2 linked regions of the Neodiprion lecontei genome follow. The protein of the gene in region 2 interacts with the protein of the main gene of each other region in a pairwise test. Links are inferred from orthologs where the notes say so. Each region holds a gene or a part of one and is shown on either strand. Other genes may lie near its edges. The genes, in order: tyrosine-protein phosphatase corkscrew and GRB2-associated-binding protein 2.

What was found.
Region 1: the proteins of GRB2-associated-binding protein 2 (region 2) and tyrosine-protein phosphatase corkscrew interact in binary tests that used the Homo sapiens proteins (3 or more experiments, as listed by UniProt). The link is inferred for Neodiprion lecontei from reciprocal best matches to the Homo sapiens genes GAB2 and PTPN11.

What each region holds. Positions count from the first base shown.
Region 1 is NC_060263.1:35,935,179-35,943,249, forward strand, and holds tyrosine-protein phosphatase corkscrew, read right to left. Parts: upstream 5,957-8,071; 5' UTR 5,793-5,956; coding exon 5,749-5,792; exon of another isoform or gene 5,734-5,748; intron 5,685-5,733; exon of another isoform or gene 5,612-5,684; intron 4,714-5,611; coding exon 4,591-4,713; intron 4,304-4,590; exon of another isoform or gene 4,298-4,303; coding exon of another isoform or gene 4,287-4,297; coding exon 4,092-4,286; intron 4,014-4,091; coding exon 3,851-4,013; intron 3,623-3,850; coding exon 3,510-3,622; intron 3,406-3,509; coding exon 3,140-3,405; intron 2,659-3,139; coding exon 2,579-2,658; intron 2,440-2,578; coding exon 2,257-2,439; intron 2,177-2,256; coding exon 2,003-2,176; intron 1,795-2,002; coding exon 1,578-1,794; intron 1,400-1,577; coding exon 1,248-1,399; intron 1,164-1,247; coding exon 990-1,163; 3' UTR 631-989; downstream 1-630. Other genes in the region: serine protease easter, read left to right, coding at 1-217. UniProt on the Homo sapiens protein: Acts downstream of various receptor and cytoplasmic protein tyrosine kinases to participate in the signal transduction from the cell surface to the nucleus. Positively regulates MAPK signal transduction pathway. Dephosphorylates GAB1, ARHGAP35 and EGFR.
Region 2 is NC_060265.1:9,033,003-9,037,901, reverse strand, and holds the start of GRB2-associated-binding protein 2, read right to left. Parts: upstream 3,235-4,899; 5' UTR 2,996-3,234; coding exon 2,915-2,995; intron 1,617-2,914; coding exon 1,488-1,616; intron 1,365-1,487; coding exon 1,178-1,364; intron 951-1,177; coding exon 666-950; intron 114-665; coding exon 1-113. Other genes in the region: uncharacterized protein LOC124294987, read left to right, coding at 4,105-4,791. UniProt on the Homo sapiens protein: Adapter protein which acts downstream of several membrane receptors including cytokine, antigen, hormone, cell matrix and growth factor receptors to regulate multiple signaling pathways.

The sequences.
Region 1 (8,071 bases), on a different chromosome or scaffold from region 2:
CGGAGGCTCGAATCGGTCCGATTCATGTTCCGGAGATAGCGGCGGTCCGCTTCAAGCTCTAGGGATATACAACAGGCAGCCAAGAAACATTCTTTATGGGGTGGTTAGTTTCGGACCAAGAGATTGCGGAATAGAAGGGGCTCCCGGGGTTTACACGAACGTTCCATATTATATGGATTGGATTTTAAATACGATAGGAACAGAGATATATGACTAATCATTAATGAGTAATATACGTTGACGCATTAGTGTGGTATCAGAAATTTGATGCTACGTATATAGTATGACATATCCTTACACGTTCACACACGTGAGAAGAACTTCGATGTATCGTATTACGCTGTACGCATATGTTATCGCTAATAAGTTGTATATTTGTACAAAATTTTATTTATTTTAACTGTATATAAGTGTCATTGCCGATATTGTGTCACCTATGACATCCGTATTATTAGTATTTAAAGTCAATATTATCAGAACTTCTTTATACTCAATTGTTTTCCATTTGACGTTTCACCGAAAATAAAAACAAAATTCTTGACTCGACTACTAGCCCAGTTATACAGCTATTACTCATTCCCTAATCCATATTGAGTATGTATGCTGACGGGAATTTAGTAATAACAGAAATAGTTGCCATAGGGTCTTTATTTCATATTATAAATATAAATGGACAGAGAACGTTGACTTTTCCCAACATAGCATAATTTCATGTACGGGCAATTAGTTACGACAGATAAACAACGTATATCGTCTCTGTAAGCAAGTTAACCTTCATTCCCTTTCTCTCATTTCGCCAATTGAAAATTGTAAAAGGAATAAGTGAGTCTGCTCTTTGTGCACACACTCAAGATCATAAGCAATTATCTCGATATTACGTGTTACCAGAGAAAAAGAGCATATCAATATCACTTGAAAGAAAGTAGTAAGTAATTTCTTCTCTCAGTCTGTAAAGTGTTCATTCGCGGCTGATCCAATAACATGCCGAGTTACTTTGGCCTAAGCGAACCGACTGTAGTGGAAAGTGTGATATTCGTCGGGGTTGGGAAAGCAACAAGAGTTGGCGTAGGAGATGAGGCATCTCCTGATCCACTACTTACTGCAACATTGGTTTCATCGGAATATCGGATGTTTGTGTACTCACGACCCAACTGTGATGCTTTCTGCAATGTTGTTAGTATGCATTTAGAAAAGTAACATATTTTTGTAAAGGCGATGCAATTGATACTGAAAAATCAAAATAATACCTGCTGTGCCAACATGCGTTGTGAAACTGTTTCAATGTAGTGTAGAACAGCTAGATACACAAACTTGTACTGAGCTTCGGTCTGAACCATTCCTGAGCGTTGGCTTCGCACCTTTTGAATTGTACGTTGGATGTCGATTTCACATTCCAGTCCTTAAAAAAAAAAATACATGTATATCTGCATATTCTACTATACGAAGAACTGCTGAATTCACAAAGATATTGGGGGGAGGGCATTCATTTTGAAGACAGGAGCAAATATTCTTGATAATTGTGACCAGTGTGTTGCAGTAAAATAATCCCGAGGATTCTCTATAATGAAGATATTTACCATGTCGTTTGATTTGATCTAAGATCATGTCGATGACAATAAAAGTGCCTGTACGTCCGATACCAGCACTGCAGTGTACAAGAATGGGTCCGATTCCAGGAGCACCAATATTATTGCTACTAGGCACAGCAGCCGCAGCAATTTGTCTGGCATTCACGTCGTGGAGAAAGTTCAAGACGCAGCCAGGGTCCGAAGGGACTCCATGATCCGGCCACGCCTGCCAATCGTTTTCGTCTATTATTTATTATTATAATAGTTTATTAATTATTATTCTTGTTATTATCATGATCACAGATAATTTTAGTTACATCTAACAACGTATGTAAAGATCGACAAACGTACGTCACCATTAACCAAGACAGATTGTTGCTAAAGCATTCAAATATTATGTAAATTATGAATATAAAAAGAAAATCAATATGTACTTGAAAGTGGTAATGGTAAATTTTTCTGGGTTCAGAATGCTGCGGTTTGACTCCACTTAGGAGAAACTCGCGAAGAGTATAATCCGCTGTTGATATATGACCAAAAGTGCGCACTCTCCATTCTCCATATTCAGCTTGCTCACCTTCCTCTGGCCAATAGCGAGCACACTTATTCTGAAATATAAACGATTATATAAGAATCAAGAAACTTGGATTCGTATTTTCTTATGCTCTGGAATTTGATTTCTGAATACCTTTCCCCTCTCCATCTCCTTTGTTGTCATCACAATAACACGAGTATTTTCTTGGTATACCATGTGCCAGAAATCTTGAATAGTATTAGGAAGGCACCCTTGAGTAGCTATATAACATTTGGTTGATGATCCAGCATCACCCACTCCAGCACCAGTGGATGCAGCATTATCACCTTCTTCAGTCTACGTTACATTTCAAATTTTATATAAAACGTGAAAGAGTAAACATTTTAATTACAAGTTATGGTTAGATTTTTCAGTAAGTGAATTTTTGATTAATATGAAATTGAAATGGAAAAACCAATGACATATAACGACATACTCGTATATAGTTGGCATTGATGTAGTCAGCCCCTGGAGTATTAGGATCCACATCTTTTAAGCGTACTCTTGTGTGATCAACTGAAAGAGTTATAAGTAAAAATATGTTAGTAATATTTGAAATTTAGACTATGTGACTTGGTCACCATCTTCATAGACATTTTCAGTTTCAAAGTTTTAATCTAATAATTGTCATATATACATTGAATTAAATTATTATAGTACGAGGGCCCACGACTAAATCCACAGATCTCGGTAGACTAGATGACCCTAGATCTGACTAGGCGGGTAGTAACGCTCAGAAGGCCTAGCAGCTTCATGGGGGACTATTTCTACTATCAAAAAAATTTTAAATAAACATAGAGGATATTATCACATCTTATCTAATCTTGAAAATGCACACAGATTTTGTTATTTCGTTACTAAAATTTCGGTTTTTAGACATTCTGCTCATATTGTCTGACCTGGCTGCATTTTCAAGACTGTCAACAAATCTAACCCAAGTGTATGAGACCAAAATTTTGGTTGTAGGGTCTTGTACTATAATAGATAATAGTCTTACAAGGTAATATATTCTTGTAGCGATTTTTTGCTCGGTTCTCCGGACGTTGACCTTCCTTTCGAGAGAATAAATGACCACATTCAAGTTGCTGCAACGACTCAAATTCTTCCCAAAAGCCAGCTTTTCCTTTGACAGAACCCCCCGCGCCATTTCCTGTTCCGTTAGTGCAACCCCCAGAAGCATTGTACCACCCGTTCTCTTTATGCAACTGTCGTACTCTGCTCTCAATTCCGCTTGCATTAATACGAGTTGCATTGAATGGTTGCCTGAAAGAAGAAAGTCGCATAGAATTATCAGTAGAGTTACACTTAGTATATGTAGATAAGAACGATAGTTTTATCCTAAAAAATAAGAAACGCTAGTCACTTACCGCAGGTGAACAACAGTTCCACTTGTTTCTACCATTGGATTGCGTTTATAATGTTCTATAAGATCGCTTAAACTGTCAAATTTATCACCGCCGCCTACGTCAAATCCATTGTCCTGCAACATTGATTAGTTGTTTTTTTTCTCTAGTTTAGGTATGTAAGTATATCTCAAATCGACTGAAAAATGGAATAGGGCTGGGAACTACCAGCAAGTAAACTCTACTAAGACAAAGCAATTGACCAAGAAGACTAAGTTTGCTCGTTAACTCTCAGTGACGAATCGGAAATATTATAGATTTGCAGTTCCCTGACATAGGAGTTAGACGAATATAACAATAATGACCTGTGAACGTATCATGACGTGAGTTACGCGATCGTCGGTGCGCACGGACAAAACAAAATCACCCGGCTTGCTTTGAGATTCTCGCACAAGAAATGAACCGTTTTTTCCACGTTCTACCATCAATCGTTCTGCTTCTTTTCCCGACAGGTGTCCGTGAAACCACCTATGGAAAGTTCAATCAATAACTTGAGTCTAGGTCAAATCAAAAGTTTGACAGATGTGTAAAAAGGATAACACATACCTCTCAGTAGTTGGATCTGCGCAGTTTAGAGGATATCGCAGTTCAATCACTTCTCCATTTTTCTCGCGTAATTGTCCACCATTTTCCATATAGTACTGGACAAGCTCGGACAATGTTGCAAACTTTTCTCCACCATAAAGATCGTAAAAATCTCCTGTATTCTGAATTTTGATATGGGTCACTTCCCCATTTCGTCTAAAAATCATGCCGCTCTTTTAAGGCAATCAACACCAATAGTGAAAAGTGCTTGAACGCTATTAACACTACTACACTTATGTGACATGTAGATGTAAAAGCAATTTCAATATATTAGTCTGGTTATTTGATTATTACTCGAAATTATAAATAACTGCACATCATACACATAATATCATACAATAATTTCTAAGCACATAAAATATCAAGCAAATAAGTTAAATGCTGCTACTGATTATAAACTTAAATACACATTTAAAAATTGTCAAAGCAGTCTCATAACAAGAAGAATATTTTTACTCACCTCACTGACAGTGTGAAGTTTGCAGGATTAGATGAACTGGGCCTTGCTAAGAAAGAGCAGTCATATCCACGTCCCATCAACAATTTTTCCGCTTCCAAACCTGATATATTGGGATGAAACCATCTGTCGAATGCAGTGATATATAACTTTCGACGACTGTACTTTGCTTGAGTAATATAATAATACTCTTATTACATCAATATTTTAGTTCACAAAGGATGAGAAAGGCCGTCAGAGCTGCTTGTTAGAAACACAGCGTCTGTATCTTATCAGAATATATATTACTCGATTAACCTCGAGCCAAATTAAGGCGTGGATGCATCACTGCATGCCTTGCATCACTCTGTCATCGATGGTGCAATGGAAAAATAATCTATATTCATTAAAACCAGATTCCTTCCACAGCACAAAAAAGGTATTACTCAAGGCCAATGGATGCTAATACTATACGAAGTTGCAATGATAGAGCCTACAAGTTACTCTACGGCGTATTTATCTAATTTTGAATAACTTATTCTCTGACGTAGTTATTGACTGCAAACAATAAACTGTATTACAATTATTATATTAGCAAATTAATAAAATGTAGAACAATGTGTGATTAATTGAAAAAGAAACTTGCTTGTATTTGCCAGTTTGTTTGTAAATAATGAGATGCGTTTACAATGTACAGTCAGGTATAGAAAAAGTACCGTATACGTCCGAGTGTAATATTTACATTAAAATTTGTATCCTACCATCTCAGGTTATGAATACTAATCTCAATGTGATTGAAATGACTCAAAGACAGAATGTGGTTGCAAAATAGGCATCGTTGAGCACCTACTCGACCATAATTAACCATGAGTAAACGAGGCATTGAGAAATTATTGACAAATAATTTAGCTACGCGTCATCAATGCATTAGCCTCAAAGTTAGTATGCGTATTGTTAGTTAGGTTAATCATTCGTATATAGTCTTGCGAAATGCGATAGTTAATGGTGTAATTTGATGAAATTAGAATAAAGATGTTTCGCGAACCGAAAATCTTAATTTAGGTTGATTAATTCAGGTACAATTATAGCCAGTGGATATTTAAAATGACACACAACTGAAAGCATCGAGTACGAGTGGCGTATTTTTTCCCCTTTCTATGCAATTACCATAACGTGCCTCACCTGCGGGATGCCATGTCGCAACTACGATTGTAACCAGTCAACATTTACTGCTTCATTGTTTCAGTTTTAACAATGAAAATCGTAACTTGCAACGTCAGTAAACTGCGAGTGAAACTCTTTTCGAAAACTGACACCAACCTGACATTTTCAAGTGTCAACGAAAACAAAAAAACGGCCACACTGGACACTGAGAGCCAAAGGGATATTACTATGCAGCCTATAGAAGGGTCATTCGAATTACCGATTTAAAATTTCTCGTCAGTTGCATGCTCGTACCGCTGTTAGACGACGATCGCTACTCACTAATACGAGGAAATATCATAAGTTGAATTCCCTTCACCACAATACAAAAAACGAGGAGTTTGGTAAAAAATAAGTGTATGCATTGATTTTTATGCAGAAATTAAAATTCAACGGATAGAAGCTGCATGAAGAAATACACGATGCTGTACTCCTTCTTAACCGACGGAAATTTATTTTATAACAATTTCTTCGATTTACTAGCAAATAGAAACGTGCAATTGACATTCTTTCTCATATTAGATAATTTACAAAGAGCGGAATGGCATATTCGAATACCTCATGAAACTGAAAGTACTGTTAGGTAGTTCCGTTTTAAATATATTTGAAAAACTATTCCTGGTTGCCGACCGTTGACATTAGCGCCTTGCCGAATAAGAGTAAGCGTTCGGCTGTTCAACAGTAGGCGTTGGTAGCCCAGTAGGTACAGCAGTTTGAATTGTATGATATATGATTACATGAAGTGAATGTAGGACATAAATGGAGTAAGGAAGTTACAACTGCTGATATGAATTATGAAGTTGAAGTGACGCAATCATGACATCACGACTTCTTCTCATAACATGGAAAGCATATTGAGATGTCGTTGTCAAAAGCTTACTTTGTGAAACCGTATTTCTATTCCAGGATTATTTATTCTCTGAAAGGCCGGGATACGTCATTCCTACACGTTAAATCCTACGAAACATTTTACGTGACCGAACCACACATAGCTGCACATAGTAACTCAAATCACAAGTATCGCGCCGTATATACCGTTGACTGAAGATATGTAAAGACGTTCAAACCTTGGCGAATATTTTCTCTGGCCAGGTGGGTTCGGCGGTAATACTACTGTCAACTCGACTCATTGTCAGTTCCATACTGAGTTTACCTAGGCGTACTTCGTATTTTTTTCTTACGTTGTTAGAATAAGTTCGCTATTTTTTAAACCATTACTACAGATGCTACGAATTGTCGTATAATTCCTTCGCTATCCAAAACCATTGTGATTCGAATTAGGTGTAGTTCGATCACGTGTAGGAAAATTTTATGTATGATTGAACGGGTAGAAAAGAAAGCTTTTCACCTTACAGAAATGATTTACGAGTACCCTCTTATTATACCTATACCTACTTATAGGTATGTATACTAATCATGGTGGAAGAATTACATGATGCATATCTGTAGCCACATATGCGCATGTAAAAAAGAAGAAAAATGTTACATTAAGATAATTATTTATACACATATCATCGACGATCCTAGAATATTTGTGCATTGCCAGTATCGCTGTAGCACTGCTATAGCTACAGCGTGATAATACAGCAAAACCAAATTGGTTTCTTACCACAGAAGTAGTAATAAAACCTTTGAATTTTTTGTTCGATACTATTAATATTACTATCATTTCTGTTCCCAAGTATTGCAATCATGTCTACACTCTGGTGTGTATCGTTAAGTGCGATACGGAATTGATTCTGAATGAGTTTATATTTTAACTTTTGCTTTATATCGTCGGCTGAGAGCACCAATATACTATTTCAGATTTTTGTTCAACAAAACCTCATCTTAGAATTTCGTACAAAAACGTCGTATATCCTGAAAGATCACTTTGGACATACAATGTTATTCAACGCAATTCTGAGATAGGGTTTTGTTGAACCAAAATCTGAGATAAGGTTTTGTAGTACCAAATTCTTAGATAAGCATTAGAAGCTGTATTTATGTTTTTATCGCATATTTCTGCAATGAATTTTGACTTCATAATGAAAAACGGTTGAATCTGAAGTGAGTTTTACATCAGCCATATGGAATATATTTTTTTAAGAAAAAACGATTGCCCATAATCCAATGACACTGCGATGAACGCTTCGACAATTATTATTGGTGAAAATCCGAAAAAAAATAACATGTTTCGCGCAGCTGTTTGTCCTATGTAACAATTCTGTTTATCTTTGTAGAGCTGCTGGAGGTCAAGGATGGGTCCTATAAATCGATTCTGAGATTACATCGTACTCCGGATCCAAAGATACAGCAGAGA
Region 2 (4,899 bases):
TACAGCCGGAGGTGTCACTGAATCTACGATCTGAAGCTTTCCAAATCTTTTCATTACGCTCCAAGATCCAATCTCTGCATCTCCTGATACGTTGCTTGGTCTAGCTTCACCTGCTTAAAAAAATTTTCGGTTCGAGGTAAAAAAATTTTTCCTCAACCTTAAGGGATTCTTACATAATGGATCAGAATGCGAAAAAAAATTTATCAAAAGAAAGTGACGACAATTTCTAATAGGCAAATGGTGGATCAAAAACGGTGTAAAAAGAAAGTGGTCCAAATAGAAATTTCAAAAAATGACAGTAAAAGTTAATATGAATGCAAATAATAAATAAAGTAAATTTCCAACCAAAAACATTCGGAAGAATGAGTTTCTCATAGTTGAAATTCTAGGAACATCAGATAATAAATTTAATTTGTACAATCATAGTTGAGTCGATGTCAATATTATGTAACATATTACTAAAAAGCTCAAATCAATTAAATGAGCCTTTACGAAGGAATCAACACATGGATTGATTTTCTAAAAACAAAATCTAATTCAAAGGAGACAGCATCTTCTTTCCTCACAAATCATTGCAAATACACTTAAATTTTGAAAGCAATATCCGTGAGTTAAAGCTGATCAATTAAGGTCAACTGCGGCTTTAATTACAATTTTTTACTTACGAGACGAAGGAAATGTCTCCCAATTAACACTAGGAACTGGAGAAGTCCATTCATCGTCAGTAAATACACTTTCTGCATCAGTTGTAGTCGGAGATCTGGGTGGAGAGGGAGCCAACTTTCTTGGGGCATCATAATATTGTTCTGTATTCTGTCCCAGGGCAGAACTAAGAGAGCTTGTGTCGTTCAAGGAGCGGCCAGAAATGCATTCACTGATTGGAATGTAGGGTCCAGATATAGTACTGGTTGGTGAGATCGGAGGCGACTCTTGAGGCTCGAATGGAAATACTGTTGAAGAGAAAAATTGAAACATAGACAACTTTACTTTGCGTCACTGGAATGTGTTAAAAGTATATTCGTCTACACAGCAAAAATACCAAAGAACCAAAAAATGTCTTTCGTAAACAAAGATCTGCATTTTCAAATTCAATTAATATTTAATAAACAGACAATTTGTAACAGAATTGTTAATTTAACAAGTAGTTTTAGATATAGATACTTATTTTCAGACTTACTTTGACAGTGCGGCTCATCATCCTGTGTGTAAGCTTTCAAACCGCAAACCTGGCAAACTGCATCAACCCACTTGTTCATGTCAGCTTCGCTCTCTGCCACCAGGTAGTAAGTTCTTTTCGGAGTCTTCACGTCGAACATGAACTGATATTTCTGCTTTCGATTTTCAAATCTCAAGCCAGCATCCACCTGCACATTTGTAGTTGATTAATCAACGATTATTCTCATTCTTAAATGGCAAATAACTTGTAATTTTTGGCAAAAACTAACTTTAATGACGTTTTTAGAATTTTTGGAAATAAAAATAATTACCTGCTCGCATTGATCCAAATCTATGCGGCCCTTGAGCTTTCTGCAACGTCTGTCTGTGTAATATTCCAAGAAATATTGTCCAGGCAATTCTCCGCTGTGACGGAGCGCAAACCAACGCTTTCGCCATCTCTAGAGCAATCAGTTTCGAGGTACGATACACGGTAAGAATTTGTTGAATGTTCTGCTTCAATGTTGTTACGAAAAACAAATTGGGTGTGGCAGACAACAATAACTACTTGACAAAATGAGGTGCATATGTAGCATAATAACACCAAATTGATTTAAAACAGTCCAATATCTAGATCTATCATTGATAACTTTCGTGGAACATTACTTTCTGTTGGAATTCAAATAATTGGACAGTACTGATGAAACAGGTTTTTTCTGGTTGCAACAGATGCTGACTAGTTAGTTACGTTAGAATCAGTTTCAAGGAGATTCGTTTTCGTTGCAGCATAATTCACAGAGCTGTGTGTCAATGAAAACTAAGATATTGAACCCTAGTGAATAAATCAGAAAAGTAAGAGTTGAAATGTATTCATTATGAGGGAAAAATATCATAATTCAAAAAAGATGTAAGGAAGATTACATACGAATGAATGGAAACAGTCAAATATTATTAGATTTGCCTAAAGTAACATTATTTTTATGTGCTTCTACCAAATTACACAAATTATTCATCAACAATGCTATCTACATATTATGACAAGTGATTCTATACCACATACACATAAATAAGATTACACATAAATAAGAATAAAATTAAGTATGCTAACTGAGATGTCAAAGAATACTGATAATTATGTATAATCACTTTGAGGCTTTGATTAGATGCTCTAAATAAGTTTACATTTGGAATAGTTGCCTGTAAAAATACTGGAAACAGTAGCTCAGCAAATATGACAAAGACGACTAAGATTAAAGTAAATTGACAACAAACAATGATTATTAGGAATACGTCATAAATTTAAGTAGGATAAACCGAGATCTGAAGTATGTGCAACACACAGATACCTGACTAGCTGTCCGTGGTGGCGTTGAGCCAATTTCCACAGTTGAGCAAACAATCAATGATTATTAGGAAAAACCCAAGCGAATAAAAAGATTGATTCAGAATTGAATTGGGAAAGACAAGACTACAAATTCTTTTGGGGTCTCACGAGTATCCAGGTATGAGGTGGAAAGGATATCTTTCACTTCCTAGGTTAGACTGACGGTTATATTGTTAGGAAAAATGTTAACCCATTTAAAACGGTTCGAAGTGTCCCGATCAAGAGTGGGGCTTGACGATGTATGAATCCCATTCAATTAAAACAGGGGTTATCCGAGCGTTAAATGGGAATGATTAATTGTCGGATGATAGAAGCCCTGGTTAACGTAAACAATGGAAAGAGTCATCTTCGATTAGATTTTAGAGGAAACCTTACCGCTTTCCACAATTTTGAGGGTGGCGATTTTATAAGCCAGCCTTCGTGGACGATTTCTTGGCTTGTTTTGAGCGTATCCATGCCCTACACACTTCTTAACGAGTCGTAACGATTAATGACACATCATTGAGAAGACCGAGCGACTAACACGCACGTATTCGGTCCATTTATCTATTTTTGGTCGATACACAGGCAAGTAGCTCACCAACGAGCATCGTAATCTCGACACACAACCAAAGTTAGTTTGTAAGATAAGGTTATCTCACTTCGTTCGTCACTACAGGAAGTTTGATCCACGAACGTCTAAAAGACATAGTATAAAGAACGTATAAAGCAATGGCATGAAGAGGACTGAAACATCTGCTATTGAAGTCATAGGGTGATTTTTAATCATGAGTGTGACGTCGCAACTGCTGTCCCCAACGATTCCAGAAGCTAGACACTGGATCTAATCGTGATGGCACAGCTAGACACAATCAGTAGTTCTGGGTGACCAAATACCAACTAGCATTGGAATGCACTAGACAGTGGATGCTCAATCCCGCTTTTCGAACAAACCGGGAATAGGATTATCCTTGTATTAATTAATGAAAATTATCTTACCTTTTGAAGATGATTAAAACTCGATGAGCAATGAGTCGATGTGTTGATACTAGCGCCACTTAGTATGCGCTGAATGTGAAATATCTATTTTCTTGACATTCCTATTGGCCACGAACTAGGCAGTAAAACACTGCGGCAGCATTTTGTTGCCCATGAAAAACCAGACCAAAGAGGATTGGATCTTTGCTCAATACTTGCCAACACACTGAAAACACGAAGGGTATGTTCCAATATACACTGCGAGCACTGTTCAGTGCTCTTACTGGGGAGAAATTCGTTCCGATATAGACTGACTGTATGCAGTCGCAGTATCCTAGGGAAATATATGACGTCATAAATCGTCGCCATTTTTCTACTGTGAACACTGGTGCTTTCAAGGTAAGGTGCTCTCAGTGCTTCGATCACGTGATCAACAGCGTTCAGTTGCCAGTACTTGCAGTACTGCGAGTATATTTCGGAATACACCCATGGTGTGCCTAGAACTCCTACGACACGCCCCTTTCTTCGGGGGTTTAGTTACCCAGATATGCACCAAAATATAATGGATCATATAAGAAATTTTCGATGACCGAATATATAGATACAGAATGCAGACTGAAACTAAAATCCTTACTAGATCAAAGAGAAGAAGAGCAATAAACCAGCAAGAGATAAGATATCGCATGAGCATTCAAGCAGTGAGAACTCTGTTCCATGCAGCATGTCCACATCCAATACACTACAGGGATGATGAATCTGGTGAATACGACACCAAAAGATTCATGATGGATTTGCAAATATGGATATCCTTAATCTTAGCTATGTGGATCACAATGTCTGACACTATGCGTGAATATACATGTGAATGTTGTATATCACTTAGACAAGCTGCTACTAACTATGAAGACAAGCTTAAGATGATTATGACTCACAAAGATTTTCATGCAAAACGAGTGTCAAAGTCTACGATAATCGGATGGGCAGAAGGCATATCAACGGATGGAGCCAAACAAGTCTTTGATGATTTAAAAGATTTGTTCGAAGCCATCATTATGGCAAAGTCAGATCCTAGGATAGAAGAGTTAACTACTGATTTTAGTGCAGTATCAGATATGAGTGTAAGTTCAGATGATGATACTAAAGCACAAGAGCAATCTATTCTAAAAGATGAGCTCAAAGCTGATGATGAACACGGAGAAACAAGTCAAATCGTAGAAGAACACCAAAACAGCGAAGAAGTTGCAATGGCCAAAAGAAAGAGGAAAGCAGTTCCTCGACCAATTGGATTAGACTAGGAAATAGATGATACCGATGGCATGATGACTGTGTGTTTAACACAAATATCAAAAGTTGTCAAAGTATATCTACCCGAAACTATAAAAATTGGTAGAGAAGGTTTGCGA